7 linked regions of the Oryzias latipes genome follow. The protein of the gene in region 4 purifies or fractionates together with the protein of the main gene of each other region. This does not show direct contact. Links are inferred from orthologs where the notes say so. Each region holds a gene or a part of one and is shown on either strand. Other genes may lie near its edges. The genes, in order: polr2m, angiomotin, polr2d, wwp2, ptpn14, parp1 and ndfip2.

Evidence for each region.
Region 1: the proteins of wwp2 (region 4) and polr2m purify together in Homo sapiens (affinity purification with mass spectrometry, with the first as the bait; 3 studies listed by BioGRID). This does not show direct contact. The link is inferred for Oryzias latipes from reciprocal best matches to the Homo sapiens genes WWP2 and POLR2M.
Region 2: the proteins of wwp2 (region 4) and angiomotin purify together in Homo sapiens (affinity purification with mass spectrometry; 3 studies listed by BioGRID and IntAct, counting the BioPlex papers as one, with this or other methods). This does not show direct contact. The link is inferred for Oryzias latipes from reciprocal best matches to the Homo sapiens genes WWP2 and AMOT.
Region 3: the proteins of wwp2 (region 4) and polr2d purify together in Homo sapiens (affinity purification with mass spectrometry; 3 studies listed by BioGRID and IntAct, with this or other methods). This does not show direct contact. The link is inferred for Oryzias latipes from reciprocal best matches to the Homo sapiens genes WWP2 and POLR2D.
Region 5: the proteins of wwp2 (region 4) and ptpn14 purify together in Homo sapiens (affinity purification with mass spectrometry; 3 studies listed by BioGRID). This does not show direct contact. The link is inferred for Oryzias latipes from reciprocal best matches to the Homo sapiens genes WWP2 and PTPN14.
Region 6: the proteins of wwp2 (region 4) and parp1 purify together in Homo sapiens (affinity purification with western blotting; 3 studies listed by BioGRID, with this or other methods). This does not show direct contact. The link is inferred for Oryzias latipes from reciprocal best matches to the Homo sapiens genes WWP2 and PARP1.
Region 7: the proteins of wwp2 (region 4) and ndfip2 purify together in Homo sapiens (affinity purification with western blotting; 3 studies listed by BioGRID and IntAct, with this or other methods). This does not show direct contact. The link is inferred for Oryzias latipes from reciprocal best matches to the Homo sapiens genes WWP2 and NDFIP2.

What each region holds. Positions count from the first base shown.
Region 1 is NC_019861.2:21,378,523-21,383,346, forward strand, and holds polr2m (protein GRINL1A), read right to left. Parts: upstream 3,314-4,824; 5' UTR 3,203-3,313; intron 3,118-3,202; 5' UTR 3,071-3,117; coding exon 2,964-3,070; intron 2,232-2,963; coding exon 1,698-2,231; intron 1,583-1,697; coding exon 1,360-1,582; intron 729-1,359; coding exon 585-728; 3' UTR 210-584; downstream 1-209.
Region 2 is NC_019872.2:12,817,585-12,821,734, forward strand, and holds part of angiomotin, read right to left. Parts: coding exon 3,672-4,150; intron 3,477-3,671; coding exon 3,332-3,476; intron 419-3,331; coding exon 326-418; intron 1-325.
Region 3 is NC_019878.2:10,414,102-10,419,035, forward strand, and holds polr2d (DNA-directed RNA polymerase II subunit RPB4), read right to left. Parts: upstream 3,223-4,934; 5' UTR 3,087-3,222; coding exon 3,008-3,086; intron 2,475-3,007; coding exon 2,294-2,474; intron 2,223-2,293; coding exon 2,127-2,222; intron 1,214-2,126; coding exon 1,135-1,213; 3' UTR 630-1,134; downstream 1-629. UniProt on the Homo sapiens protein: Core component of RNA polymerase II (Pol II), a DNA-dependent RNA polymerase which synthesizes mRNA precursors and many functional non-coding RNAs using the four ribonucleoside triphosphates as substrates.
Region 4 is NC_019864.2:27,508,736-27,512,885, forward strand, and holds part of wwp2 (NEDD4-like E3 ubiquitin-protein ligase WWP2), read left to right. Parts: intron 1-1,122; coding exon 1,123-1,194; intron 1,195-2,067; coding exon 2,068-2,156; intron 2,157-2,940; exon of another isoform or gene 2,941-3,035; intron 3,036-4,140; coding exon 4,141-4,150. UniProt on the Homo sapiens protein: E3 ubiquitin-protein ligase which accepts ubiquitin from an E2 ubiquitin-conjugating enzyme in the form of a thioester and then directly transfers the ubiquitin to targeted substrates.
Region 5 is NC_019882.2:9,194,537-9,198,686, forward strand, and holds part of ptpn14 (tyrosine-protein phosphatase non-receptor type 14), read left to right. Parts: intron 1-1,483; coding exon 1,484-1,581; intron 1,582-2,650; coding exon 2,651-2,718; intron 2,719-2,873; coding exon 2,874-2,944; intron 2,945-3,040; coding exon 3,041-3,128; intron 3,129-3,208; coding exon 3,209-3,297; exon of another isoform or gene 3,298-3,373; coding exon 3,374-3,461; exon of another isoform or gene 3,462-3,620; intron 3,621-4,150. UniProt on the Homo sapiens protein: Protein tyrosine phosphatase which may play a role in the regulation of lymphangiogenesis, cell-cell adhesion, cell-matrix adhesion, cell migration, cell growth and also regulates TGF-beta gene expression, thereby modulating epithelial-mesenchymal transition.
Region 6 is NC_019882.2:7,703,701-7,708,606, forward strand, and holds the start of parp1 (poly [ADP-ribose] polymerase 1), read left to right. Parts: upstream 1-1,903; 5' UTR 1,904-2,013; coding exon 2,014-2,136; intron 2,137-3,629; coding exon 3,630-3,795; intron 3,796-3,957; coding exon 3,958-4,073; intron 4,074-4,143; coding exon 4,144-4,358; intron 4,359-4,906. UniProt on the Homo sapiens protein: Poly-ADP-ribosyltransferase that mediates poly-ADP-ribosylation of proteins and plays a key role in DNA repair.
Region 7 is NC_019860.2:18,751,616-18,754,828, reverse strand, and holds part of ndfip2 (NEDD4 family-interacting protein 2), read right to left. Parts: intron 3,091-3,213; coding exon 2,960-3,090; intron 1,224-2,959; coding exon 1,136-1,223; intron 941-1,135; coding exon 816-940; intron 734-815; coding exon 667-733; intron 596-666; coding exon 492-595; 3' UTR 490-491; intron 400-489; 3' UTR 1-399. UniProt on the Homo sapiens protein: Activates HECT domain-containing E3 ubiquitin-protein ligases, including ITCH, NEDD4, NEDD4L, SMURF2, WWP1 and WWP2, and consequently modulates the stability of their targets. As a result, may control many cellular processes.

The sequences.
Region 1 (4,824 bases), on a different chromosome or scaffold from region 4:
AGACACACGATTGCAACCTGAAGGTGATTTATGCAGCAGTGCTTCAGGTTTAAAGTATGAACCCCGTTTACTCCAAAATGTTACTGCAATCAGCCAAACATGTGCTATAGAGTTCATGTTTACAAATGAAAAAGGGTTTGTAAAATGCTGTTTGGTGAGTGTTGCTTGATGTAGTTGTCAGTCAGTAATGTTGTCATATAAACTCTAACTTTCACAAAGTCAGATGTTTTTATTCAGCTTACGTCTGCTGGTACAGCTGTAAACAGTCACAATGTCCCAAAAAAGTCAGTTCCACCTGCTGATCAACTTGAAGTGCATTTTTTTAATTTTAAAAGAAAACTTCAACTTAGAAAACCAATTTAGGATTTAACCTCACAGACTCTGGATCAGCTGAAGCTGTTATCTTGACAGAACTTGAGAAGACCTGAGCTAAACAGATCCATCATCCTAACTTAACATTTAGTTTGCTAAGCTCAGTCTATCCACATCTCCTTCATGCTAAGATGCATGAGAGCTCCACATAGTGAGGTCCAAAGCATCTTTGAGCCAAAGGGCCAACGGTTTCCTCAGCTGGTCCTCCAGGATCAGTCCTCCTCTGAGGAAAGCTGTGCTTCTTCATCGTGCACCTCTCTGTAGGCGCCCATGGAGCCGCCGTCAGGGTTGTAGCCCCCCACCGACATTTTTAGTCCCTCAGACAGTTTCTGGGCTGCCAGCTTGGCCTGCAACTCCTACAATCATACACAAGATTTGAAGAAAAAAAACAATAGGAAAAAGTGCATAAAGAGAGCAATAAACACTGAAATATGACTAATAATAATAAGATGATTTGACTCTTGCATTTACAGGTATTGGTCTGCATGTAAAGTCAGTGTCTGAATACTGCCCTCTGGAGTTCTTAAGGGAAAATGACAACTATGAAAAACCAAAATGAAACAAACATCAAATGATGTAGTCAGTGATTCATTAAAAACACATTTCACTAAGATTTTTATTTTACTTTGAACCAATTTATTCACTTTTATTTTCAGTTTTTTATTCAAACCTGCATAACATTTGTCAATGTGTGCTTTTGTGCAATGGCAGATAATAACATTTTGTTTTGAGACCATTTTAACAAAATAATAAAAAAGAATTTATGAAAATGCCCCTGTGGGCAAATAATGACACCTATATTACCATCAGTCCTGCACATATATGAAAACCTCCACAGTAGCAACTGTGCATTGTTAGAAAATCTTCTGAGTGGTCCACAACAAGCCCAAAATGATAGACATCAGTGATGAAGCCCTCTCAACACTTCACAGCCATTTTAAATGGCGAGTCATATTGATGTGTGTGAGAGGTTTCAGTCACACTAACCTGCTGCTTTCTGGTGTGTTCTACAAGTAAGGCAGCGGACTCTTCAAGGGTCAGGAGTTGGGCAGGATTGTGATGAAGAGGAGGGAGTTTGGCCGCAGTGACATCATCCAGGTGTTTCTTGTCCTGCTCCCTCCTGGCCTGAGCGGACAGCGGCGATGCATCTCCAGAGGGCTCACCTGGTGACGAGGATCCTGACGTTGAAACGTCACTTCTGTTGAGCAGCCTGAAAAGAGGGTTAAAACATTTTGATTTTCAAGGAATCCAGATGTTTATCCCTAATAAAACAGACATAAATGCAAATAATATATCAAAGTTTTGAAAGAAATAAAGTAACTTACTGATTTGGTTTGAATTTTTGCCTGATGGCATGTAAAGAGGACTCTCCTCTATTCAGGACAGCAATATAGTGAGGCTTCTTTGGTGTTTGCTTTTGGAGAAAGTAATTGGTTGTTGCTTTGCTGTTAAAGGCTTCTTTGGACTTTCCAGTATTGGACTCGGATACCTGGACCCTGTCCAGGGCTTCCACTAGCTCACTTTCTTTTATCTCTTCAGATTTAACAGAGGGTTCGGCAGCAGATGTGTCCATTTGTTTTTCTAAAGTGGCATCTTTCTTCGTTGGTGCTAAATCAGGTGTGCTTTCCGTTCCTCGTGAGTCCTCTCCTTCCTCATTTTGGTATGAAGGTGCTGATGAGGTGACTCCACGTTGTTGCGAACTGAAAGCTTGCTGGTACTTGGATTGTAAATCGCTCCTTGTAGCAGACAGTAAATCTCGCCTCCTCTCCTCTTCGATGCGCTGTTCAATGGCGAGACGCACGTTGTCTGCAAAATCTTGAATTTTTTTCCCTTTGTCTGGAAGAGTCTGTAATAACCTCCTAAAAAACAACAAACAATCATCTTGTAAAGAACTCATCGAGCAGTTATGTCACATGGCATTTATCACATCTCTGCCTCTTTTTCTAAAACAAACAACAACTTAATCTGTGATTTATACACAACACAATAAGCATCAGTTGATATGGTTTATGATACATTCCTAGCTATTTTGATGCAACCTCGAGGCCCACTGCAATGAAAATTCGGTTTTTAACGTGTTCTTGTGGCATTTTTCTCAGGATAGAGGACATATACATGAAAAAAATCTTGTTGTGATGTAGAAGCTACAGTCGGCAGGCCACAAGCCCCCTCCTCCTCCACGCCATGATGCATCCACTTGTAGGAGACTGGATCCAGATGATCAGAGGGGGACTCTAACATAATCCTCTTGCTATGATTACATTCACTGTTGAAAAGGGACATTTTTCGAGCAAAACATTTGTCTTTGGGAGTAACTTTTTGTTATTAAAAGTTAAAAGATGACTAAGAATAAACAATATAAACGAACATGTAGCATCTGGAATATAAAACATTCGGTTAAAGCCCAAAGTGGGCATTTTAAAATGTGCAGGTTTTACTTTTAATTTCTTAACAGTTGGTATAACGTTAACATGATGGAACCGAATGTGTTGTAACTATTTTTAACTGCTAATATACTATGGTCATTAAACAAATAAAAAAAAACTACAGGAAAATGTCTCTTTTGTCGTCTAATAAAAGGCCAGACTCACTTATTGGAGAGGATTTTTTCCTGTCGCAGCAGCAGCTCCTGCAGTTCTTCTCTGCTCTGGTTCCTCAGGTCTCCAACCTTCCCCTGACGCTGATCGGTCCACGACATTACTGATGGCTACCCGCTTCCAACTGCAGCCATTCCCACACAACGAACTGTAGATTAAAATTTGACTTTAAAACTATACGACAAAAACACTAGAAACAATTTACTAATAAAACAATCCGCTCTACGTGAAACCTTCTTTGAGTTCCACTCATGACAACATTTCAAAGTGGGACCTTCTTCTTCTTCTGCGGAAATTCAACGTCTGCTGTGACGCTCTTTCTCCCTCTACTGTACAGATCACTGTACTGCAGCTCGTTGGCCGTTGGAATAACACATGTAATTTGCTGCCCTCTGCTGGCCAAAGGTGGTCACGACTACCAAAAACGATCATGAGGAGAATTTCCCAATACAGTAAATTCAATTTCAGTTGTACAAAAAAACTAAATTTCCAACCGATATTATCGCAAGGTGAAAAATCTAGGAGAGCAAGAAACAATGAATCAAGTAATTACAATCTCCAGTTTTGTGGGAAAATGACAAAAGATTCAATCACATATCATTTTAAGTGTTTTAGAGGAAATAGTAACCATATGTCTTACTTAACCATTTTATTGAAGTTATCTTTTACTCAGATTACTGTGACAAATACCATGACTCGTCATTGATTGCATGAAGCACGTCACAGCACCAGTGGTGCCCACAAAATAATTTATTTATTTTTTTCTCCAACTACATTATTTAAAATGGTTTTATAATCCAATTTAATCCATAATATTTCATTCGGGTCAAATTGGCTAACTCTAGTTTTTTTTTTTCAATAAGTGACCAACAGATTACATCAAAGAGTATGTGTCGCAATCCTTTATGAGGACGCAAACAGACAATTGTGAAGTGAAAATGTAACAATTTAAGTGGAACAAATGAGAGCGACCGTTTACACTTAGTGGTTTGGATTAGAGGACAGGAAGACATGTAGACAACACAGGGGCAAACACTGCAACCACATGACAAAGACATTCCAGTTAGGAACTGTAAATGTATTAAATGCATTCTTAAAAAAAAACAAAGCAGAAATAAGAAAAGTATAAAGTGAGGCCCTTGTGCTATCTTATGGGGTCCAAATGACCCCACCCTAGCATTGACGTGTTATCCCTACCAGGACAAAGGTAGATAAAGGCGAAGAGGATTTCATGTTATCCTTGGACACCAGTGAAGATTACAAATCATTTAAGAAAAAACGTTCAGCGCACTGTCTTGTGGGGTCCAGATGACCCCACTCCCAATGTCAAAGTGCCTATGATAGCACAAGGGTTAAGGTCATCCAGGTCAAAGAGAACTTTTTCCTTTATCAGAGGAAGGCTTTAGTTGCATTGAAGATAAAGATGGTGTCTGCCTCCAGAATTGAACTGGGGAGTTGGTGCCACAAAAGATGAGCCTGAAAGCTGAAGGCTCTGTTTCCCTCAAAAAAAAAAAGACAATTAATCTCTTGTACCTGTTTGGCAGAAATGAATTAAACTATAAATATATTATCAATAAATCATTCTATCCCAAGAAATAAACAGCACTTTGTATTCATCTTTTCTTATTTGCTTAGTGAAAACAATGCATAGCAATACAATACCATGTCTTTTTTATTTTTTAAATATGACATTTTTTGCTCACGAGATCTTAGTTCTTTGTTATAGTTCAATATTCTGTAGATTTCTTGTTTCTTTTGCAGATCAGACCATCCCATCAGATTCCTTAAACAAAATGCTTAAAACAGGGCAAAAAAACATCCCTTTTGTAGATCCTAGGCTTTTTGTTGATCTTTT
Region 2 (4,150 bases), on a different chromosome or scaffold from region 4:
TGATCTCCAAAGAATTTCTTCTAAAACTGTAAATCCAGCTGCTGATCAGCCAAACGTTTTCATGGGTTAAAAATTGAAAACATTTGAACAAAAATTGCATTCATGTGGACTGACTAATCTGCAGCAGCTTTAAAGATTATCCCTGTGTTAGTTTTGAGCCTTAAAAATATGCTAAATGACCATTAGCTAAAGCCAAATGGCTCCGCTGCCAACTCAAACACTGACTGTGGAATATGTGGCCACTGATTGGAGAAGAAAAGGGTGTTTAGTGTTGAGGTAGGCATGCTTGCTGGAGTATGTGTGTGTGTGTGTGTGTGTCACTCACTCTGTGTGAGCAGCTGTGAGATGGTCTTGCGGTTGTCCTCTGAGCCCTCGCAGTCTTTCGTGGCGAGCTGCTTGTTTGCCGTCTCCATGCGCTCTTTAAAACATCAAAACCGGAAGTAAATGATCTGGACTCACACAGACATTTCTAGTTGTGAAAAGACAACTATTGTTATTTTATAGTAAGTTTGTGCATCAAAAGAAACATATTTATTCTTATACTCAAAGTATTGTATGGGGGGGGGGGGGGGGGGTCAAACTAGGACTATCACCAGCAATTTCCAGAATCGGTTTGATTCAATGTAAAATGTGATGAAATAATAAACCAATGCGATTGTTAACAGCATCCAGAGTTAAATTAATTCTTAAAGGGAGAAGCTCCAGCAAAAATGAGCAGATTATTATGTTTCGTTTGGCCACTAGGTGGAGCTCGCGCTACAGCCTAACGCTTTATTCCAGAAGATTTGAGGGGAAAAAACTGTGCAGATTGTTACTTTGTGAAAAAAAAAAAAATCTTTTTCTTTAAAAGAGTTTGGAAAATTCATGCCTGTGAGTATATAAATCTGTTCATTTAGTCAGCAATGTGTGTTTAGGTCGAACGAGCGTTAGCATCAGCAGTCTTATGTGAAATTCCATTATACGTTAGCATCAGGCTAGCAGACTTTTTAACTGCTGTTATGCGTTAGGTCACCGGAAAAGGAGGGGCGTAAAAGATCGATCTATACTTTTATGGATCGATTATTGACTTATAAAGCTTGGATCGATTCAGATTAATAGATTGATTTTATCAACCCAGCTCTCGGTAAAACTTTGAAGGTCAGGTCAGGATTCACAAGTTTTCTCGGTCATTTTCATCAAATCTTCTTGATGTTGATCTTAAAAAAATTCTTCTTAGCTTGTTTTTTTTTCTTAGCTTGTTTTTTTTCTTTCAAGGTGGTCAAAAGGATCAGAATTTCTTTCTTTTTAAAATTATCAGGAAATAAAGCTTCACAAAGTTCTCCATATCTTTCATCTTCAAGCACGGCTCCAATAAAAAGATAAACTGTGTTGTTGTTTTTCTCGTAAATTTATGACTTTTTTTTCCTAAATGTATTAATGTTTTCTCTTCTAAATTTATAAAAACAAATTCTCATATATTAATGACTTTTTCAACCTAAATTTAAGACATTTTTTCTCCTAAATGTATTACTTTTTCCTCCTAAATTTATGGCTGTTCTCTCATAAATTTGTGTTTTAAAGTCATAAATTATTACTTTAAAAATGAAAATGAATGAAAATTTATAAGAAATAAAAGTCATAAATGATTTTTATAAAAATACAACTTTATTCTACTTATTTGACTTTTTTTCATAAATTTAGGACTTTAATGTCGTAATTGTAAATGTATTTTTGTGTTTGTCAACTAGTCCTAAAACTTATGGTATTGTTGTACTGTTAGTATGATTATGGGGCTAAATTTAATCAAAATCAAAATACTTGTTTGCATAAAAATTTCAAAGGTGTAACTAAAGATTCTTTTTTTCTTTTTTTTTAAGGTCCTTGTTTTTGTGTTTTGCTCTACCATTCTTTTAATCATGTTATATAAATGACATTAGTTGTAATAGTTTTCATTTTCTCGAATTCTAACCTTTATGTTTTAGAGTTTCAAAGACAGTATTGCCATTCTAGTTTAATATGCGTCTGATTGTATGTAAAAACAGAGTTTCTATAACAATATTGGTGTTTATGCGCACTTAATTATGCATATTTGGCGTTTTGCGGGTTATTATTTTGAGTTTTATATAAATGTGTATAAACAGCAGATGTCTTTATGAGGTGCATTTATTTATTGTGTACTGTGGGGCAAAAACGTGTTGGGCAGTTAAAGATGCTGTGAGTTGTCCCACGCAAGAAGATGATACACTTCCACTGTGAGAGAAAGAATTTATAAATAATAATCCAGGAAATCACATTGCACGATGCACAGTAGGAGCCTCTATTCTTGCCCTTTGTCCTCTGGACACAGATCTCAGATGTTGTTCCTGGAATCTGCTAGAGCCGCTCTCCCAGTTTGTGTCTGAAAGCTCCGAGTGCTCTAATCCCCACAGGGACCTCTTCTCTTTCAAGGTCTTCTTTCAATCTTTAGTGCTTCTCTGAGGGATCAGTTGTTTTGATGTCATTCTAGAGGTTGGGTTTTCCTGATTCTTACTTCATGTCTATGACTGTCTAGTAAGTCATTTCTGCAGTCTGCATCTCTAGAAACCCATTTCCCACCAGCATGTTTTGGATCCAGCATGAGAAGCTCTGAGTCCTAGCATGCAGACATCTGCCGACCATCTTAGCCTCCTCTCTCTGTGATGCCTCGGTGGAATAAGACAAGCTAAAGCTTCAAAAAGTCTTTCAGAAGAAAGAAAAAGTGTTTTGTAAGCTATAAGTGAGCCTCTAGCATCTTCCTTCTTGCATCTGTCTGCAGGTATGTGTTGACCTGTAAAATCCTTCCAAATGTCTGATCACTGATGTGGGCTCGTTGAAGAAACATAAATGGTACGCTCATTAATCAAGAAGTTACGAAAAATAAAATACACAAGAAAGATCTTTGTTCAATAGATCTATTGAAATTTTGGGAGAGCACAAATGGGAGATTTGGATGTAATCCCTGCAAAGGTCAGTTCTAACTGAACAGACAGGAGGCAGGAAGGACAACAGGAAGCAAAGCAGCATTCCTAAATTCCTATGATGAAGAGAGATTTGCTCTTTGTGTGCGTCTGTGCTGCATAAATAGATGCTAATTGTGTTATGAGCACATTGATCTAATCTCATTTTGGGTTGGGCCTCCCTTTTCCCTTCAATCACACAAATTCAGACTAAAAAAACATCTTGTTGATAATTAATCTTGAACTTATTGTACAGATTTGCCCTTTATAAGCGCATTTGCTAAACCCACTGGTGGCTGTTTGCACCAGAACCTCAGTGTGGTGCATTTCCACGCTGTGATTCACCCTGCCAGCTCCGGGCCCCGCCCTGCACTCACCCCTCAGGTCTCTGTTGAAGTCGTGCAGGCGCCGCACCTCCAGCTCCAACTTGTTCCTCATGGTTTTCTCCAGAGCTTCCCTCTTGGATGAGGATTTAGCGAGGTTCTCGTAGGCCTCCGACACCAACTGGATCTCCGTTTCCAGCTGCAGACAGGAGACGATGCCGCATTTGATTTTCTCCCACGTTTCTACTTTTTACTCTGAAAACGTTGTGCCATCGCGTTACTTGATGGACGATAGGGCGGAATTCTGCAGTGCAGGTAAAGATTTGAATATCCACACAAATAAATATGAGGCTGAAGAAATGTGGATGTGCTTTAGGCCTTCACCAGGTGTTACCTTTTGCAGCTTCGTGACTTTCTCCCGACAGGCCTCCATCTCTTGCCTCAGCATCCGGTTCTCCTCCGTCAGCACATCCACCATCTGTTGAGTACGAGCGAGCATGGCGTAGGGCTCGCCTGGCAGCTGGCCGTAGGAGTGTGGCATAGGAAAATTCCCCGGTTGAACCATCATAGCCGGTTGAGGATGACCTTGAAACTGTTGCTGCTGCTGGTGCTGCTGCTGCTGGTGCTGCTGCTGACATGGGTGATGAAGCTGCTGATGATGGTGCAACCTCGGGGTGGAGCCATAGGGATCGGCGGGGAAAGCGTGACCTCTGTGCATGGGTGGGTGACCTGGACCTTGGATGCCTGGCTCGGCTCCTTGGTGGGAGCCTGTGCCATGTGGACTACGAGGTCCAGACATGTGGTGAGGCTCCCCAAGAGACTGCTGGTGGGGGAAGGACGGATGCGAGGAGTGGGAGGCAGACAGCATGCTGC
Region 3 (4,934 bases), on a different chromosome or scaffold from region 4:
TCGACAGCTGGCAAATAGGACATAACTTAAACGTTGGAATTTTATTTTGTAATGTAAATATAAATAATTAAAAACGCATTTTTGAAATTACTTCTTCAAACAAGAGGAAACAATGTTGTAGTTAGTCTTACCCAATGCTGGCCGTTTTTTTATTTCAAATTTAACTTTATTGTTCCAATGGTAAAGCTTCAGTTACTGATGGCATTCAAGTCTTATTCCTCTGAAAATGTTGGTTCGAACCCCACTTAGATGAGTCATGGACCGTAGTGAGTGTTCAGAAGAACAGTTTAAAATGTACCCCCCAATTCTCTCCCTGCTGTGTCCCTGGGGCCAATGCTAATACTGATGCTATATCACGTCTTTACATTTTTTAATTTATATTGTGTATATAACTTTTTTTTTTTAATGGACAGCAATCCATCTAGGAATCCTTGGTGGAGAAGGGAATGACAGCACCTGTGATTCATTTGCTGCATCTTTTCCTGTTTCACCACCTACCTACCCTTTAGCTGTAATAAAGATTGGAAGATTTGATGAGATCCCTCCCTGCCTCTGTCCCTATGGTCCACCGGCTCTCCTTCTCACTTTGTGATTCTTTTTGTTAAAAGAGCTTTACAAACTTTGCTTGGTTGTTCCTTGGTGTAGTTTTTTTAAATTTTTATTTTCAATCAACACAATAAATCCAGTTCCCTGTTCCGCTCCTAATAAGCGGTTTGGACAGACAACCACACAAAAGCACTAAAAGGGGTTCTCCTGGGACAAGAAGGTTCTGTTGGGAATCAATTTTGCGTGGACTCTGACTCGAAGGTGGTCTTGCAGGTCTGAGCTGGCAGTACGAGTGGGCGGTGTTCGGGATAAGCTCACTGATGATGGATTTGAGTTTCTGCCCATAGGTACCCGAAGGAGCAGAGCACAGATACAGTTTTCTTATCAACATGTGCTGGATTTTCCACAGACCGGATAGAATCAGACACACAAACAGCATCTTGTGTGCCTTTAAAGTACATCAAGATTCTGCTGGGTGGTGGGTGGATTAAATGTTCTGTGATTTTTCTGGTCCCGGTGGAACGTGAACCACGCTGCCTCTGTTAAGGAGAGTTCTGGAGGTCTCAGGTCCAGCTGCTGGTCCTGGTCTTAGTACTGGAAGCTCCTCTTGGTCTGAATGTCATCCAGGATCTGTTGCAGCTCTTCATCCTCAAAGCGACCCTCCAGACTGAGAAAAGAAGCAGAACCCGGCAGAACTTTATTCTCTCAACGATGAATTATTTGATAAGAATTGTAACAACATCACCTGCAAAACGATCCATATCTCAGTAAGATACAGTGGTGGACAAAATTGTTGACAGACTGACTGATTATGAGTTTGAAGACAGCTATGATGTCAATTTAAGGACATACCTGAGTTCATCATGACCCCCTGGGCAATTAGTTCTCAGTCTGTTATGGAGGTACCATCATTTTTGGCCAACCCTATTTCATTAGCTTTTTTTTTTTTTTAAATAATTCTGTCAATCAACAAATTAAAAAGCTGATTTTGATTATTTCATTTTCATTAAATTTTAATTTATTGTTACTTTTGAACATTTCAAGTCATTTTAGTGAGAATTCTGGAATTTGTTTCTATAACTGATGGGTACCAACAATTTTGTCCACCACTGTATATTTTCACAAAAATAATGATCACTAAACAATCTAAAATAACTTATCTGCTATTTTTTAATGCATAATAATTTCAACAAGAAACCAATTCCTGACAAGTAAGAACAGCATAAAACTACATGTCTGTGATGAATTGATCCAAAATGTTTTCTGATCCAGTTTAGGATAATCTCTCAGGTTTTCTCTTTGAATTAATTCAATTAAAGCTGCACACGTCTGCCCTTAATGTAAAATAGTGTTACTTCGACATTACTAAATAAATCTCCTTGGCATCCAGACTAACTTATACTTTTACTCAATTTACTGAAAGTGTTAAAATAAAATAAAAAGTCAAGCCTCCCAAAAATCCTAAAATCACTAAGGTGTTCAGAATAATCTGATGTCAGGTGAATCTTTTCACAGATTGGTTAACGAAGACCCTGTAATTTATGGGTGAAAAGAACAAGTCCGGTTCAGTCCAGACTCACCTGGGGGTCAGAGCTTTAGCCTCCTCTGCAGCTTCAGGACACAGATTCGCCAAACTGGCCAGCTCAAATTTATGGAGCTTCTTCTGCAGGAGGAGACTGAGACAGACAGAAAGGCCATTAGGACCCAGATCAGGGCCAGGACCTGGGACCAGAAGGGGCATCCTTACCTGCGCACGGCAGTGATGGTCTCGCGGTTCTTGAAGCGGCTGAAGCGGGCCGTGTAGTTGAGAGTCTTCATGAAGACCTCGGACAACTCCTGTTCGTCCTCGGCGCTCTCGTTCTGCTGCTTCCTGTGCTCCAGCAGCATGTGGACCTCCGAGTTCAGCAGCGTCTCAGAGTTCTCAAACTCTGCAGACAGCAGGAGGGGGCTGGTTAGTCACTGAATTTGAGCTCAGATTCTACAGAATATCAGCTCCAGAACCATTTTGATTGAAAGACAGAAGGATTCCTGCAGTGATTGTGGACTGGAATTTAAGGCCTGTTTCAAGAAGTAGGACAAAAATCCTGCTGATCAAAGTCAGCCTGTACTATTTTAGGAAGCTTGTTGAGTCTCAGACCTTCCAGGACAGCAATCCATGTAAATTTAAACTTATAGTTTACTCTCAGCAAACAAACAAATAATTCTATCTTGATCAGTGGACCAAACATCATGATGATCACAATACATGTGTGTCAGTGAGAGAAACATTTAACCAGTACAGATGATGATGGTCGTATAATGAAAATATTCAGATTCAAATCGGTGATGCAGCTTACATAAATTAATAATCAGGGGATGATTATCCTCATCGGTCACATATAGCAACGTAATTGTTTCCAATACAGGTTACACTGTAACCTAACAAAAAGTTTCGGAAGTAAACAGTATTTGTGCGCGCCACCTTTGGGAAACAGCAACTGTGACGCGTCTTCTTCGACGTCTCCCACGTGCGAGGAAACCGAGCTTCCAGCGGCAGTCATGTCGAGTCACAGTCACGGGTCGCAGAGGCGCGCAGTACCGATGAGCTCCGTCAGCTTCTCTCGGAGACTACGGTGAGAACGTTAACTGTGCAGAGAACAACGGCGCTCGGGGAACTTCCGGTCACAACACCGATCTACTTCCGGTGATATTCTTCCTCTGCTTTCTTCTGGTTTAGGCGGGTGTCATCTAGCAATAATGGTGCGCTTCTGCTACCTACTGTCCTGGAAGATGAAGTGTAGGAACTCCCCTCAAACACAACGATAGAACTGTTCAGTCATATATGCCCTTGTAATAAATAATTTATTTCCTTGTAAATAAATGTTAAAGTTAAAGATTTAAAGAAAACAATTGTATTTTTGTGTTGAAATTGCTTGTTGATTGCATGTACTTTGAATCTTTTTGGGGATGAGTTTCATTTGTGGTGTTCAAATTCCTCTGTTCAAGTCTCATTAAAAAAGAACAACATTCTTTTTGGTGTAATTTCACATAACAGTCTGTTAAATTTAGTTTAAAATATTTTAACAATCAAAAGCAAATTTTATATTCATAAAAGTAAATTATTAAAAACCAAACCACTGTTTAATGTGTTTCTTAAGTAGATTTGTTTAATTCATGAAAAGTAAAAAAGCAAGAAAATGTTTCAACTTTTTTAAAGGCATTAAATTATATCAAAACTCTTCATATTTAGGTGTTTTTTAGTTGACTCTGTCTTTGTTTTGCTTTCTTGTGTCTTTATTTGATGATCTATCTCATTTTTTGTTCTAAATGTTCTAACTGTTTTACATTTATGTTTACAGGTTCCTAACTTAACATTTGTAGTGTTCAATAATAAAAGACCATGTGAGCTCGCCATAGCATAGACCTGCTGAGATTTTTGGTCCCTGATATTCATTTTAACTTTATTCATCTTTTCCCCTCTCTTTTGAATTTCTTACTGATATGTTTGTCAGTGTTATTTATATCATATAAAATTTGTATTTTTTTTAACCATGTGACCTTTAAAATACAAACCTTTATTTTATAACTAAAAATGTTCTTTATCCGCATTATTAGTTTTCAACAGTTTCAATTGCTTCTTGTATTTCCATGTAGGTACATTATCTTGCTGTGACTGGTCTTTATTCCTCTCTAGATGCTTCTCTACCTGCTCCTTGCAGGTCATAAGGTCATATGCAGACTTTATTTAGTCTTACTTTATTTATTTATTTATTTAGTCTTACTTTAGTCTTTATACTCCACCTGAAGTTGCCACACGTTTTTTTTCACAGCTACACTGGTAGCAAACACTTCTGAAACTCTGTAAACTTGAGAATGAATCTGTAGCAACTATTATTTTCTCACCTTTTGTAATCTCCTGCAACTCCACCAGGTGGCGTGGTGATTCAAATTTCAGAACGGTAGGGTTGGAATGTGTGTGAGGTTTTTACATTTTGTGTGTCCATTGTTTTTTCCAAGACCTTCAGGTTCCTGAAGGGGTTCAAAGCATGTTTTATTGGTAAATTAGGTACTCTACTCTAAAATTGTCCCTTAAGAAGTTTGAATAGACTTCTGATGGTCTAGTAAAGTGCTTAGAGTTATGTTGTTTATGCCCTGAAGTAACTGGAATGGACTCCATGCCCCCGTAGTCCTGCTCAGGACTATGGGGGCATGGAAGATATGTCTTTGTAAATTCCAGACACAGTTGTTCTTCAGTGGGCCCTTTGGAAAAATGTTGCATTTAATTCACTTGTGTTTCATTCTTTATGTTATTACTCTAACAAAGCTCGTTTGTAAAATGCTAAATTATTTGTACAAAACTTCAATAAGTTTTAATAACGTCATTGTTCCTCAGCAACAAATATTGAAAG
Region 4 (4,150 bases):
TGGATCTGCTCTCACTGATTGTTTTGCCTCCTCCAAGCAGAAAAATACTACTTTTTTTTTTGTTATTTGAGGCAAAAGGATCACGTCCTAATTTATTCTTGGATAAATTATAAATTGAACACTTATTATCCTTTAAAAAATTATTAAAACCTGTTAGACTGTCAATGTGAGAGGAGAATAAAAATCAACAGACTCCATTTATTTTATTTTGAAATGAATATGTAGTGAAAATATCTTACTAAAGAAATAGAAGGCACAAACGGACTGCCACTTTATTAGGAACACCTTGCTAGTACCGTGCTGGACCCGCTTTACCTTCAGAACTGCCTTAATCCTTGGTGGCATTGATTCAACAAAGTACTGGACACATTCCTCAGAGAGGTGGGTCCATATTGACATGACAGCATCACGCAGTTGCAGCAGATTTGTCGGCTGCACATCCCATGATGCCGATCTCCTGTTCCATTACGTCCCAAAGGTGTTCTGTTGGGTTGAGATCTGGTGAATGTGGAGGCCATTTGAGTCCAGTGAACGCATCATCATGTCTAAGATGATTCCAGCTTTATGACACCGCGCTGGTACAAGATGGTACACTGTGGTCAGAAAGGGATAGACATGGTCAGCAACAGTACTCTGGTAGACTGTGGCGGTGGCACCAGGCTTTGTTGGTTGTAACCAGTGGTTCTTTGAGTTCCTGTTATCTTTCTATCAGCTGGAACTAGTCTGGCCATTCTCCTCTGATCTCATTTTGGGGCTATTCTCTGTAAACCCCAGAGATGGTTGTGGGTGAAAATCCCAGAAGATCAGCAGTTTCTGAAATCCTCAGACCAGCCCGTCTGGCACCAACAACCATGCAACGTTCAAAGTCACTTCAACCACCTTTCTTCCTGGTTCTGATGCTCTGTTTGAACTATAGCAGACCGTCTTGACCTTGGCTACATGCCTCAGTGAGTGGACTCACTGGTCACTTTCTTACGCACACCTGTCAAACTGTAGCAGCAACTCGATATAAATATACTTATATATATCTATATATATATATAGATATATGGATATATAGATATGTGTGTGTGTGTTTATATGTTTAACTCTTACCCTCTCGTGGTTCTTGTTGCCCTGCAGTCCAACGCCTTGCCAAGCCACGTGAAGATCTCCGTGTCCAGACAGACGCTGTTTGAGGATTCATTTCAGCAGGTCAGACTGAAAACTACTCTAGGATTTGAACATAGACTAAACAAGTGACGTCAAGTTTCATTTTCCTTTCTCTTGTCCGCTTTCAAAATCATACACTGAAGAAAAAAGCAGAGTATGAGATGTTTTTCGCTTAAAAGTGCCAATGGAAATAGTGAATTTGTGTTAAGATTTCATCTTCAAATAAGTTAGGATGTTCTGGCCTTTGAAGATGGGTTAGACACTCATTGTCAGGTATATTGATTGCTCTTGTAACTGGAAATATTTCAAAACATGATTTAAAATAAAGTACCCCCCCCCCCCCAAAAAAAAATCCTGTGCTATTCCTCGTGCTACAACAGTCCTTATTTCTAAACCTTTTTTTTCTAAAAGTAAGATGAGAATTGGACATAAATTCATATACATAAATGTATGTTTACTTTAAAACTTTGGCATTTTTCTCATTATGTGGAGGACATATATTGTCATTTTTGTTGTGCCGGTCATGTTGGATTACGGATGTGAGGGGCTGTAAGCTAGCAGGATAGAGAGTGAACAGAGAACTATCGGATAAGGGTGATAGGAAGGGGGGGCGGGGCACTCTATGCTAACAGTCCCATCCACAACTCAGGCAAATTTCTAATGATATAGATATTTGGTAAGTACCACAGACAGCAGTCACAAAGTGCTCTACAAGAGGAAAAAAAACACAAATTACAGTTAAAATGCATAAAATAATATAATACACTTAAAAATTTGATGTATTTTAAAATCAAATGACTCAAGATCATTCAATATGTTTTGTCTTGAAAAACAATTGTTACTTCTAACAGAAAAAATTACTAGTAATTTACTAGTAACCTTTTTTTTTTTTTTTTTTACACTTCTCTTCATCAGATCATGAATGTGAAGCCGTACGATCTTCGTCGTCGACTCTACATCATCATGAGAGGGGAGGAGGGGCTTGACTATGGCGGCATCGCCAGGTGAGGAGAAATCCAAACGCACCTCCGCCTTAGCCTTCATTCGCATTCTGTCGTCTTATGTGCCTTCTCTGGTTTTCCTGCATCTCATCCACCTGTGGGTATTCTTTACACAAGCCTCCATGTTTGATGTTGGTGAGGGTGGTGTTGGTGTATGTTTAGCTTCTGCCGCTTCCTCCTCCTCCTCCTATAGATTACATATTTAGGTTTAGTGATGGAGAATGAACGCAAAGTTTATGTTATGCTTTGTTTCATTATCAACTCGTGACTTAAACTATTTTTAGCTTTAAAATTTCAGTCTGTTGTCCCAACATGCACTAGGAGTTGTTTTAATGACCCGATGGTGGCAGCGTTTTCTCAATTTGTTGCCGTAGCGACAGGATGCAGCATCACCGGGTTTATCAGGTTCGACACTAAACCCTGTAATCCTCCTGCTATTTGTCTGAGCTCTGATTAAAGTTTGCTAACTTTTGGAGATCCATGATCCTACAGGTTCTTGTGGCAATCATCCGTTAGCTTCCCCTGTGTTTAAACGCCAGAGTTGAAGGCAGAAAAGCGTCTTCTGTGTAAAGATTCATCCTGTAGCCACACAGGGATGTTTTAGCTTGTTGCAGAACCTCCTCCTCCTGGAGCTCCCTTGTCCTCCCACCATCATCTGTTCCTGTCACGCCTCCTGCTGTCCTTCAGGTCTTCCTCTCTGCATATATTTTTTTTTCTGTTTGTGGTGTTCTCATCGTTCTCCCTTTTGGGTGTTTTGTTTTTTTTTTGTTTTTTTGCATTGTGTCTCTGTCTCCGGTGTCACGTCAGTGGTTTTACCCTATGGTAGGTGACATCATGCTGTTCTACCACAGGGTAGAACCACGGACGGGATGTTGGGAGGTGTCTGCGTCCGTCAGCCCGTCCGTCAGTCCATAACACCCAGCGCTCCGCACGCCCCCCGCGGGTGTGGGCGGGGCTTAAGGAGCGCTGCTGCTGCTGCTGGTGGAGGGGCCTTCATTCTGTCTAACATTCATTCCTCCACAGTTTGTCTAATCTGCTCTTCAGATTCTTCTGCTCTGTCGTTCGTTGGAATTGCTTCAAGACAAACTTTAACACATTTGATCTGATTCTGATCATCTCTTGATGTATTTTTAAAGCGTTCACAGCATTATTTTTTTTTAAATGCCGTTTTTAGCCACAAAAAAATAAAAGGTGTAGTTTACTAGAACATAGTTTCTGCAGAGCAATAGTAGTTTATATGAAATTGAATTGTAGGTGGAACTGTTGGTGCAGAGTAAGCTTTCCTCCCTTCCCATCATCCATCTGTTTGCACGCTCTCTCGTTAGCTTACAGTCCTCACAACCCCAACCGAATATTACCGGTGCAACAAAAATGGCGAGCAATATCGGAGCTAGTCTTTGGTTTTGAGCCAGACGTCAGCTTGAATACGAAAAACAAACTCGTTCACAGATCTATTTGTCTGGTGGATGCATCAAGATGGAGCGGAGCAGGGAGCTTGTGGCTTGCCGTAGTAGCTTCTATGTCACCCAAGTTTTTTCCAATGCCTTTTTTTCTTTTTTTCACTATGGTTTGAATAAAGAATTACTCAGAAATGCAGTTTTAAGTCTTAAGTTTTTCTATATGTGCTCTCCATCATGAGAAAAATGGCTCAAGAACATGTTAAAAACACAATCTTTATGAGAGTGGGAAATTCTTTCTTAGGAATTTGGAAAAGTTGTAACACTTTCGTTTATTTTTGTTTTATTTTCCACTAATGTGTAAAGTTCCTTTTTTATTTTTATCCTTCCATGTTTTACAGGTTTCGTTTTTTTGCTGAATCTCGGACTTTCTATTTTTCTTTGTGTTTCTTATATGGTGTTATCTCCAGACATGTGTTGAGCTTTCCATCCCTTCCCTAAATGAAAATGAAAGCTGTTGTCCTGACGTAAATGATCTTCAGGTTTTTGCTCCGCCCTGCAGTAACGCCGTCTGTCCTCTCGCTCTGCAGAGAGTGGTTC
Region 5 (4,150 bases), on a different chromosome or scaffold from region 4:
TGAAATATTTAAGGAGGTAATGAAAAAGAAAACAAAAAACTGTATGTAGAAGGAAAAGTCTGGAGTTTTACAAATAAAGTGAAGTTAAAAAAGGACATGACGACAGTCTGGGCATGCATGTGAGTGGAGAAATGAGTTAGCATGTAAGTATAGTTTCCACAGCCTGTGTGTGTGTGCGTGTGTGTGTGTGTGTGTGTGTGTGTACATCATAAAAGGTGTTCTGGACGCGCTTTGGAAAGCCTCGGTCTGTGGTTGCCATGGCGGCAAACAGGAAATGGCGTTTTCATGCAGCTGAGCCTGGTCACCCTGACAGTTCTGCCTTTCTTCCTGTGTGGCCGTTCTCATTCTACAAACATCCAATTAGAAAGGGGAACAAAAGAAGCCCAGAAACCGAAGCAGCCCGCTGCATTTTGGTTTGGTTTCGGGACTTTTACCACATTTTTCTGAAGGCTGCAAATAGCCTCAACACTGTCACTGTATCAGCTTACACTTCCAACCACGGCTGCCCAAAACCGCAGAGAAAAGACTCCCAGTTCGCCCTACATTTGTACTGTAACTGTTATGCTTCTGTGTTGTGTAAATCCTACCAGAGATGATATCCAGTGCCTAATGTGTCAGGCTCCTGAATGATCACAGACCTTTGCGACCATTTTGTTTAGCTCCAACTGGTAAACTTTAGAGAAATATGTCTTTTGGTATTTTAAGTAAAAGTGACTCACTCATTCCTCATTTCTGCAACAACATTCTCTCCCTTGGCTCAGGGTGGCTGCTGACTAAGAGCAGTGAAGAGTGAGTGGGTCATCTGCTTGCAGTTCATCAGTTGCTAATCATCATGGTTTCTCATAAAGACCCACTCCAATCATCTTTAAATCTATTCTAAAAGCCTTTCAAGTGGTGTTTTAATTATGATTATGCTGTTTTTACCCAAAATCAAAAAAACTGTTATTGTCTAGGACATACTTTCTGCAGTGGTTCATCAGAAATTCACCTCTGAGTTGTAGGCAGGATGCAGGGTGAGCCATCCTTCATTTCCCATCATCCCTTTGTTTATACGCCCTCCCACAAGCTTACAGCCCCTCATAACCCCAACCTAACATTAGTGGTGCAACAAAAAAGGGTGAGCAATATCCAGACGTACAAAGAAAACGCTGACGTACAGTTTGAATATTTAAACCTCTTGTTGTACAAGAGGTTCAAAATTTAGAATTCTGTTGGTTTTTGTCATCAATACATTAAATATTATGAAGTTCTATAACCCATTGGCTAGTTTTTGGTTGCCAACATTCCTGCTGTGCATAGGGAATTATACAGTATAACTTTGTGTAGCTTCTTATGTACCAAAATATTTTATTTATAATTTTTTTCATGATTTTATGACCCTCTAATTGATTAATTGATAATTTCCCCCACTGGTTCCTTTTTACCTCCAATTTTTGGCTCGAACCTGCAAGAAAATGTGTCCTCTTTCTCGCCTTGTACGTAGGTATCAGTATTACCTGCAAGTGAAGAAGGATGTCTTGGATGGACGCCTCCATTGCAACATGGAACAGGGCATCAGACTAGCTGGACTAGCCGTTCAAGGTAAGATTCATATCAATCACATGTGTTTAATCTAGCAGAGAGAAATGCAGCAGCCGAGGGAAGCGTGCGCACAAACCGGCGCTTTCTCGGGTCATCTTGACACTGCTGCCTTATATGGCTGCATACCACAGGGAGAACCAGTCCACTCGAGTTCCTATGGTATCAGTCCTAACACATGCACACACACTCTCCATCCTCGAGCGCTGTCTGCGTCCCATGGGGAATGTAAACAGACAGTGAGCTTATCAGCAGCTCCAAGGTTAGCCTCCGCAGCATCAGGAAGACGGTTATCTGTTGGGAGGCAAGGATCCTCCTCTTTGCCTCCTTTTGTCCGACAAACAGCACTTAGTGGTTGATACAAGCTCTATCTGGAGAATGAGCATGTTATAGATATGACGTGCACACGGGGGCTTTGTTGATGTGTACGATAAGTTCTTAATTTATTCTCGGGCCAAATCTTGACAAGTTAGTCAGGAAGATTAAACCCAAGAAAGCATTATTGGCTGAAATGCAACTGAACACTAGATTTGATAGTTTCACCTCTAATGGAGACCTAAAACGTGTCATTTAATGCTGGAAGTTTTGGTTATAGATGACCCCAGTGGCAAACTAAAACATTGTGTGGTGAAGCTAAGGCTCTTTTTAAAGTTTACCGTTTTTTTCTTCAAATTTAAAACCCTGCAGAATAAATTGGCACAGAAATACACTTTCCTACTTACTTGGTTGTTCTTTATTCAAAGTTAAAGCCACTGTCAGCTTTTTTAAGGTGTTTTTTTGTCGGCTGGTTTTCATCCTTTAATCTACTAAGCGCTCACCTTCTAGCAGTGGCTTTACTCCCAGGAGTCGGACGATGACCTGTTTTGTAGGTATTTCTTGGCTCAGTCTTTGGCATCTGCAGCTTTAGACTGACAGCATCTGACTGGGTCGCATCTCAGAAGTTCTGTTTATTTAAAAGACATTTTACAGTTTCATGTCTGCTCCTTTCATGATTTTAGCCATTAGTCACTCATCTGAATTTGATTTATTACATGTACACGTTTAAAATGATTCATTTTGATGATTCTTTTAGCCGATTTTGGAGACTTCAATCACTTCCCATCTCAGGACTTCCTCAGGGAGTACGTGCTTTTCCCAGTGGTGAGTCCTGAAATCTCTAAAATCTCGGAAATTCAATCTGCATGTGATTGGTTGGGTGTTAATATGCGGCCTGAAGGTACGCATTCCCCTGGTGCATACCTGCAGAAAGAGCGTGTGGACATGTGGCCTTTATCTCCGCTTCTTTTTCCTTCCAGAACTGGCCTAACGGAGATGAAGTGCTGGAGGATTGGACGCAAAAAGTTGCAGAAGAGCACAAAAGTCACTGGTACTCCCAGCTTGAATGTGTACTCTGCACAAAAAAAACCTTTGCAAGTTGAGCAGGAGATGAAAGAGTGATTGCTTGCGCTTTTCTACCTTGTAGTGGAATGCAAACCGCTAAAGCAGAGCTGCTGTACATCAAGGAGGTAGAGAAACTGGATGGTTTTGGACAGGAAAGCTTTCCTGCTAAGGTAGATTCGTTTTATCCTCACAAATCTTTTACATTTAAAGAAAAACCTTTATTCTTAAGCATTTCCTCTTCTTTTTACAGGACAACTACACCAACGACATTTTTATTGGAGTGTCTTTTATTGGAGTGTTTGTCAAACACAGAAATGGCAGGTCCATCATGCTCCACAAGTAGGTTTCCCTTTATTTTTGCAGTCGATTCATGATGCAGCCGGGTGGGAATGTTTAATTCCTGTGTGTGTGACAGGTGGAAGGACATCGGTACCATAGCACACAACAAGTCAGCCATCACAGTGGAGATAACGAGCAGAGACGACACCATCGCGTTTCACATGGTGGGTGTTGTGTCTGCAGGCGGCCTCAGCTCGTTCACACACAAACTCTTTCAGCAGGCGGTTCTACTCTGTTTATTTCTGCGCTGTTTTGGGAAGGAAAAAGATGCTCGTGATACAACCAGGAGACCATCTCCATTTACTGCGGACAATCTGGCTATCCTGGCAATAAAAAAAAAGAAAAAGAAAGAAAATAAAGCTTTAGTACGACACGATGAGACAGACATTAGATAAAACCTATAAAATGTAGTCAAAAGTTTCTTATATTGCCAGATTGTGAATATCACATTTTCCAACAAGTTGCATATTGGTTCGTAATGTAATGTTAACAGAAAACCAACATAAAATAACTGTTTATACATTTTAGATTATATAACAGCCATAGACATATTGGGCGAATAATCGACACACAGAATATTCTGCACAGTATGCAAAAACGGAATCTTAAGAAGGTAAAACAGATCCTTGTTTCAAGAAAACATTCCTGTTTTTCTGTCTTGTAAGAAAAATAATCTTATCAAGAAAGTTTTTCAATAGCAATAGCAGATTCTTTTTTTGTGCTTATTCAAAGAAAGTCTGCCAATGGGGTAAGAATGTTTGACAGATTATGTTATGCAGAGTTTTTCCATTTTTTTCTAATTAATATTTATGATTGACAAGATCAGGAGATGACATGGGCAGCGTCTTCTTCA
Region 6 (4,906 bases), on a different chromosome or scaffold from region 4:
CTAAAAATAAATGACCAACAACCCTATTATTTCTTCAAAATGTTAGCATTTTTCTTCAAAGCAAAAGAACCACAATGAAGGGATAAAAGAGCAGCATGTGGCTCTGGAGCCACAGGTTGCAGACCCCTGTTCTATTTCATCACACATGAGTTGGTTTTTGTCTGTATCTTCCATACGAACTCTATAAATGCAACCGTGTTGGTGTTTTAGACATCATGTGCTGTTCATTTTACATGTATACCATGCTTTTATACATTTTTTACAGAAATGTTTAATTGTATGATTGCCGTCCATCAAATAAACACATTTTCTGTCTGTTTTTGATACTTAAAATAATTTAAAAAACGATTTAATACTTATTGCATTCTACTTTTATCACACTAGTCATACAATTTAAGTTTTATTGGTTAAACGTACCCATTACATGGAATGGAAACCTATAATTTTGAAAGTGAAGGATTTACTTTCTTTTCAGACTGCAAGGATCGACTTCTCTTCATTCGATTGTTTTAGACTGAAGCGAGCGCGGGTACTCTGTGAGGTATCCAAATATCGTCTATTGTGAAAAATGGATCGCTTGACATTTTTTTATGAAACATTTCAAGTTTGAATACTTTTTGTTGAACATATTTTAGAGGAGTGTTGTTTATGCGGTTGAGTGGCTCCTGAGGAATGACCAAGAGGACAAATAAATATACATAAATAATAATATTTCGTTTTTGTTTTTTTAAATAAATTTATAAATAAATATATTTCAGTTGATCAAATCTTAAGTTCTTTCTTTAATTCTTCCAATCGACAAAACTGAACAAAAAAATTACCATTGTTCTAAAAAACATCTAAGGATAATAATACGAAAACAATAGCCTAGCTCTTCTTATTAAGGTCAGACTTAAAAACATAAACATACAGAAGAAGTTGCATTATGAAGAAAAACTTGTAACAAAAAGTAGAAGTATACATGCACACAAAAAATGTAATATTTGATTTATTTCCACGATTGACAGTTTATTCCAACAGTTATAGGATAATAATTATGTTGTCCATCTGATTTTTTTCAATGAAAAAAGTGATTTACATACCAAGAGATCTTCACAAAATCATATTTCTTCTTGTACGTCTTACTTTTTTGTCTAATTTACTTTAAACTATTTACTTTCTGAAAATTAGATATATAGATATGGATGGATGGATGGATGGATGGATGGATGGATGGATGGATAGATAGATAGATAGATAGATAGATAGATAGATAGATAGATAGATAGATAGATAGATAGATAGATAGATAGATAGATAGATAGATAGATAGATAGATAGATAGATAGATAGATAGATAGATAGATAGATAGATAGATAGATAGATAGATAGATAGATAGATAGATAGATAGATAGATAGATAGATAGATAGATAGATAGATAGATAGATAGATAGATAGGTAGATAGATAGGTAGATAGATAAAAGAAAACGAAAGAAAAGGTAGAATGGTAGTAAGTAAATGAAAGCAGAAAGAAAAGAAGCTTCCTGCAGAAAAGCCAATTGTCATTTTCTTTTAATGATGTCCAAGGAATATCAGAAGCCGGCTGTTTTCTAAATTTCTAAATAAGAGCTTGTGAGTATGGATAACTTAAACAATAAATATGATTTTCATAACAACAACAAAAAACATAAACTTCCATTCTACAGGCTCTGCATGCAAAGATGTTTTGAAAGATATGCTGAAGGAATGGAAGTATGTAACCCCGTTTCTTAGGTTCGGTTAGCTGTGATTTCTGTAGCTATCTGGATAAATATGCCCGCATCTATCAGATATTTGTGGACATGCGCCCAGGTTCAGCGTCCATTGGCAACTAACGCTTGTATCGGAGGTTTGACAAAAAAGAGTCAGAGTAAGCCCTCTTTACTGGATCTTGCTCGCTGCTCTTCGCGTTGTCCCTGTTGTTGCTCCTCGTGCTCTGGTGGAGAAACTTTGTCGTCTTCGGTTCAGCTTTTTAAGGATAAAGGGAAGCTATGGCCGACTCCCAGAATGACAAGCTGTTCCGAGCAGAGTACGCCAAAAGCGGCCAGGCTTCGTGCAAGAAATGCAAGGAGAAAATCGCGAAGGACTCGCTGAGGATGGCCATCGTGGTGCAGGTAAGCAGCGGCGGTCCAAGGAAACACCCGGGAGCGGAATTATTCCTACAGACTCACTTGTTTACCAAGCAGCTTCAGCAGATGTAAAAAAAAAATAAAAGTGTGTTTTTGAAAATGTGATATATAGGCCTGAGTAGTTCCGGTTTCGTCTGGACTGGTTTGGGCCCTCGTTAGCATTTATGGCTGCTAAATCTTCCGCACAAAGAGCCGCAGAGATGCTCCAAATAAATGCACTTTCCGGCATTCAAGCAGAAATGTGAGGAAAAATCACTGCTGCCTCTCAGTCTGACTCAGTCTTGGTGATTCTATCGCTTGTCTTTCGGGGGAACGTGTACCGCTCACTACTTTCTTTACTTCATTCGCTTTTTCCTTTTATTTATTCATTTAGTATTTTGTCTACCACAGGCTTCCGTTTCAGCAGATGGATTTGAAATACTAAACTTTGCATAATTAATTATTATTCTACAAGCAATTAATGCAAGTAGAATTTATATTTTTGGAAAAATACGTTGACATTCAAGTAAATTAATATGCAGGTAAAAAAATTATTATCTATAATCCAGTAAATTGTATAAAACTAATTTCTAATGCAAATTTAAAAATTAGGATGAAAAATGTAAATATCAATCACAGGTATTTATAAAAAAAAAATAGATCATATCTAGACTGATTGCTTTTATTGTCAAAAATTTTATATCAAAAGCACAGAGTAAAAATTGGCACCAACTAAACTTTAAAAAAAAAAAAATATATATATATATATATATATATATATATATTTAAATCATTTGTATTCAGATTTATATTTGTAAATTTCCCATCCTTCAGACTGATCAATTGATGGTTATTGATATTATTAAATAAACAGTTAAAATGTTTAATTTAAGGCGAGCAATTTAAATCTAAACGTAAGGAATAAAATGTAAAAATAATAATTAAACACATATATAAACAAAACTTTTATTACAGTTTGTATTTGTTTGTGGAATTAGAAAGATGTTCAAGTTTTTATTTGAAGGTATTTTTTATGATTTAAATAAAAACAAAATTGCGCTTTTGTTTTGGCGAGTCACTACAGCTAAAATGTTAAAGATAATTTGAAAAGCCTCTTATTTTTCTTAAACTGTACAGAAAAATTGAGAAAAGTCATTTTTAAAAGGAGCAGGACATGGCGACAATAGTACAATTATTTTTTTCAAAGGGTTAGTTTTTTCCTCCCATTTCACCTTCAAAAAATATTACGGTATTGCTAAATTATTTTACATCCTTTACTCGTCTCATAAAAATGTTTTTTGTCTGTTCTTTGTTCAACTTTTCAACTATCTTGTTCAATTCACCACCAAACTACACTGGAGCTTTCAGATGATCTGATATGAGCAGCAAACCCATCATTTTTTTCCAGAATCATCCAAACCCGGCAGATACAGACAGACTGAAAACTATAACTCTGCAGCTGAATGTGTTCACGCCTATGTTTACTCTGTGTCCCGCAGTCCCCCATGTTCGACGGGAAGGTCCCTCACTGGCATCACTTCTCCTGCTTCTGGCAGCGAGCCTCGGTGCAGTCCACGGCCGATGTCGGCGGGTTTTCGGATCTCCGCTGGGCGGACCAGGAAGCTGTCAAAAAAGCCATAGAAAGTGGTGGAGTGGCCGGAACAGGTCTGTGCTTGTCTGAGCTGTTTGTGCACACGGGAAATGAATTGACGTTTATCAGCGTGGTGAATGTTAGTCATCGGAAAGTCGCTTTTGTTTACTTTTTGTAGGTTGTTGAAAATTCTGACTTAAAGCACAGCGGGGTAAATTGAGGTCTCCATCTTGCAGGAAAGGGAAACTCTGGTGGTGCGGCTAAAGGAGAAAAGACGCTGAACGACTTTGCGGTGGAGTACGCCAAATCAAACCGCAGCACGTGCAAAGGATGTCAGCAGAAAATAGAAAAGGTTTGCTGCAGCTTCGTTTAAACAGTTCATTAACGGAAAGCACGCCTGTGACCTCTGACCTCTCCTCCAGGATCAGATTCGTGTGTCTAAGAAAGTGGTGGATGCAGAGAAGCCTCAGCTGGGCCTGATCGACCGCTGGTACCACACTGCATGTTTTGTGAGCCGCAGAGAGGAGCTGGCTTTCAAACCTGATTACAGCGCTGCTCAGCTGAAGGGATTCAATGTGCTGCGGGCAGAAGACAAGGAGGAGCTGAAGAAGAGGCTTCCTGCTGTAAAAACTGAGGGGTGAGGAGTAACAAAAACTATATATATATATATATATATATATATATATATATATATATATATATATATATATATATATATATATATATATATATATATATATATAAAAGTTTGACTAAGAGCTTTGACTCAGCTCTCACAGACTTGGTTTGGTCTAGAAGTTCTCTCATCTCCTCTGTTGTTTCCACTTAAAATCTCTGCCTCTCCCATCGACCTGCAGCACAGAAAAATGGCCTTAAAGGCGTCCCTGAAAGCCGTCATGGTGTATGCATACAGGAAGGGGTTCACAGCAGAGTTGGCGTGGGACAGGATGATGGTGGTGAGCAGCAGCTCCAGCGGAACGGGGCACTTTGGGCAAAGCAGGAGGAAGCAGTTGATCACATGGAGCGGAATCCAGCAGATTGTGAAGAGAAAAAGAACGAGGAAGAGCGACGTGGCCATCTTCATCTCCTTGCGCATGGTGGCTGCCGTCCTGCCCTGTCGCTCCCATCCTTCACCTTTCTCAGTCGCGATGCGCCTCATCTGCTGCTTCACCGTGAGGAAGATCT
Region 7 (3,213 bases), on a different chromosome or scaffold from region 4:
GACCCGTTTTGAAAGCCTGAATGTTACAGAGGAAACTGGTACCTTAGATGTTTTGAAGCTGGAGAAAACTGTGATCTCTGGAGAAGAGGGAACATTTTAAGGGATGATGGGAAAACATGGGAAAGTTTCCTCATCGGGGTTTCGGCTGCTCCTGCAGGATCCTCTCTGTGCTTCCGGGGTAAATTTACTTAATTTGCATCGATTCATTTGTCTGAACGGCACCGAAGAAAGATCAAGCTTCGATTTGAAAGGAAAACAAATAACAAAAAAACTCGCAACTTTTGCCTCCTTGGTTCCTGCCCTGCCTCCTCCTCCTCTTGGCTTTCAGGTCCGTAGCTCAGGTCATTCGAGGGGAGGGTGGGGGTTCACATTGAGAAGGAATGCTGATGCTGTGCAAACCTGAGGGAAAAGAAGCATTTAAAACGTTTGAGAGGGTTTAGTGCTGGCGTCCAACAGGAGCATCTCTCCGTTGAGTTTTTTCACACTTACCTTCAGTAAAGAAAGAACAGGCGCGTTCTGTGAGAGGTGGCCATGTTCTCTGTCATGTTGCGAACCTTTAAGTAGTTCACAAAGCCTCTGAAGAAGAGCAACAGTCCTGCGGAGAGAGAAGAGGTCAAACCCCATCCGATCAGAATTTTCTGAAGGATAAGCATGTTAAAAACTCACCGAGAAGCAGGAAGATCCACCAGAGCCAGTACTGACCGTTGAAGTAGCCAGTGAAGTAATCGGAAAACTGAAAACAAGAGGACAAAAACACTGATCGGGTTTTTCTACCTATAGGGAGACTCTTGAAAGCTTTTTGTGTCTGGTTGTACCCGAACAATGAGAATCCACTTGATGAGGGAGAGGCCAAAGCCGCAGATGGCACCGTAGCGTCCTGCGATGGTGTTGGTCAGACAGAAGGACAGACAGAAGCCAATCCAGTTGAAGAGGAAGGCCACTGCAGGAGCACAGACACAGGAAACCCTCGTCGAAAGGCTCTTATTTTGACATTTCTACCAGACTTTTCATCTTAATGCTTCAAATGAGCCCCTGTTATAGTCAAGTCATCATAAAAAAGGGTTTGCTTCTTAAACATCTTGTGATTGTCTGACCTTTATGGTTAATTTTTTCATAGATGATAAGAGCGACTTACTAAAAAAAGCTAGCATGAAAATCCCATCATTCCCGACTCGGAGCTGATCCGCATCACTGAAATCGTCCCTGGGAGGAAAGTCGTCGTCCTTTTGTGGACACAAACGGATTTAAAACATGAGAACAACATTTACAAAGTAAAACTAAAAACATCCAATCACTGATGATTCCTTAATTATGTATTTAAGGATTTCGAACGCTGTTTGGACACAATATAAACTATAGAAAAGTCAGTGAGGACATGTCTTCCACTTCTAGGTAGGGATGCACCACAAGTATAATTTATGGACAAAGCCAAAAAAAAAAATTCAAATGTTTGGCTGAAAAATGTGGATGTTGAGATTTTCTCTGTTTGTTTCATTCCTTCTTTTTTAATTTTGCATAAATAGTCTAGAATAAATAAACGCTTGGTCATCTAAAGCCATGTGCTTTATCTATCTATGGCGCTTTCCTTTACCAACTTTTTGTCTTTTCAGATACATGTGCCACAGACTGAGTGCTGCGAGCTTTCCTTTTAGCTGCTGTAGCATTCTCATGTTCATTTGGCTTTATACCATGGTCCGGGTGAATACTTGATTCCGATTGGCTGCTGGGTGTGCATTAAAAAGTGATATACCACATTGATAACCGCACGGTGAAAAAAGACGTTCCGGTCACCTAGCTTAAATGTTTTGTATCACTGCGCCCGCTTCTTTTAAACAACCATTTGCTTCATTATTTTGACAAAAACAAGCAGTAAGAGGTGAACTTTCTCTCTGAACTGATGCTTTATTCAACCCATCCGGACCATCATCATATATATATCGCCGAATCTTGACTGCAACGATGGTGCGGCGTGACGCAGACTTTTTGTTACATGGTCAAGTAACAACAAATAGTCCACTTTTTGTGAGAAAAGCGATCCAAATCGGGAAAGAAACATGAATTACGGACTAAAAACTGGTAAATATATATTTCTTTTGTTAGTGACCATGGTATAAGCGGGTTAATGGCCTTTGAAGTGTGCATTATCACTTTTTAAAGCACTTCGCGGAAGCAATGGTTCAGGCTTCTATGGGGTGCGTTAAAAAGTAATAACGCAGACTTCGTCTGCCATTAACCCTTACTTAATCAAGATGTGTTAAAGGTTTTAGCAGATAAACCCCCTCTTGTTCGTTTAGTTCAACATTCACTGGATCCAGCAGTTCTATTTGTCGCTGTCAGTCACTTTAAAACATCTCCACACTGACAAGATTTTAAATAAGGCGCAAGATCATCAATGCACATTTATTAACCAATTTTACATTGCGTCAAACGCCTCTGATGGGCCTTATTTTCTCCCACTTTTTTCCAGTATTTGGCCCAATATATTTGGTTGACAAATATTTTGTGCATCCCTACCTCTACAATCGATGTGGTTTGTTTTCATGGGCGAAACGCAGACATGCTGCCGAGGCCGGCTCCAGGCTTACGCCATGAAAGGGGGGGCACCCTCAAGGAGCGAAAGGCGCGGATTGGAAAATAAGCCGAGAAGATAACTCCTATTTCATAAAGAATTCGTTTTTATTAGCTGTGGATCCACTTAAAGCTTTTACAGGTAAAAGTAAAAGCAGCTGATTTGCTGAACAGGGTGGAGAAGTGGAATTCATTAAGGAAGTGTTTCTCTTTTAACCCAAAAGAACCCAGACTCATTTTTTTAAAGATAAAATTATGTGTACTTTACCACTAACCAAATGGACTACACAATCCATTTCTGACATTTTTCTGTTACACTTGTTTCGGTATGTGTCAAGAAAACAACATGAAACAGATATGTGGATGTGAATTTACGCGAGTGTCTTCTCACCCTGGGCATCACTTCCACTGCAGAAGCAGCCATGGCTGCTGCTTTGGCCTTTTCTGCCTCATCATACGTGGGGAGGGAAGTAGCAACGCTGTAGGGTGGAGGCACCGGAAAGTCGCCTTGAAAACACGATTCTGTGAAAACAAGGAGAAGCAGGAGCTTTGAATTCACAGAGAAGACAGCGAGCAGAGTCAGCTGGTGACGAGTGCTGTTAGTCTTAGAGTGACTCATCGGTAAAAAATCGGTCGGGAAGCATT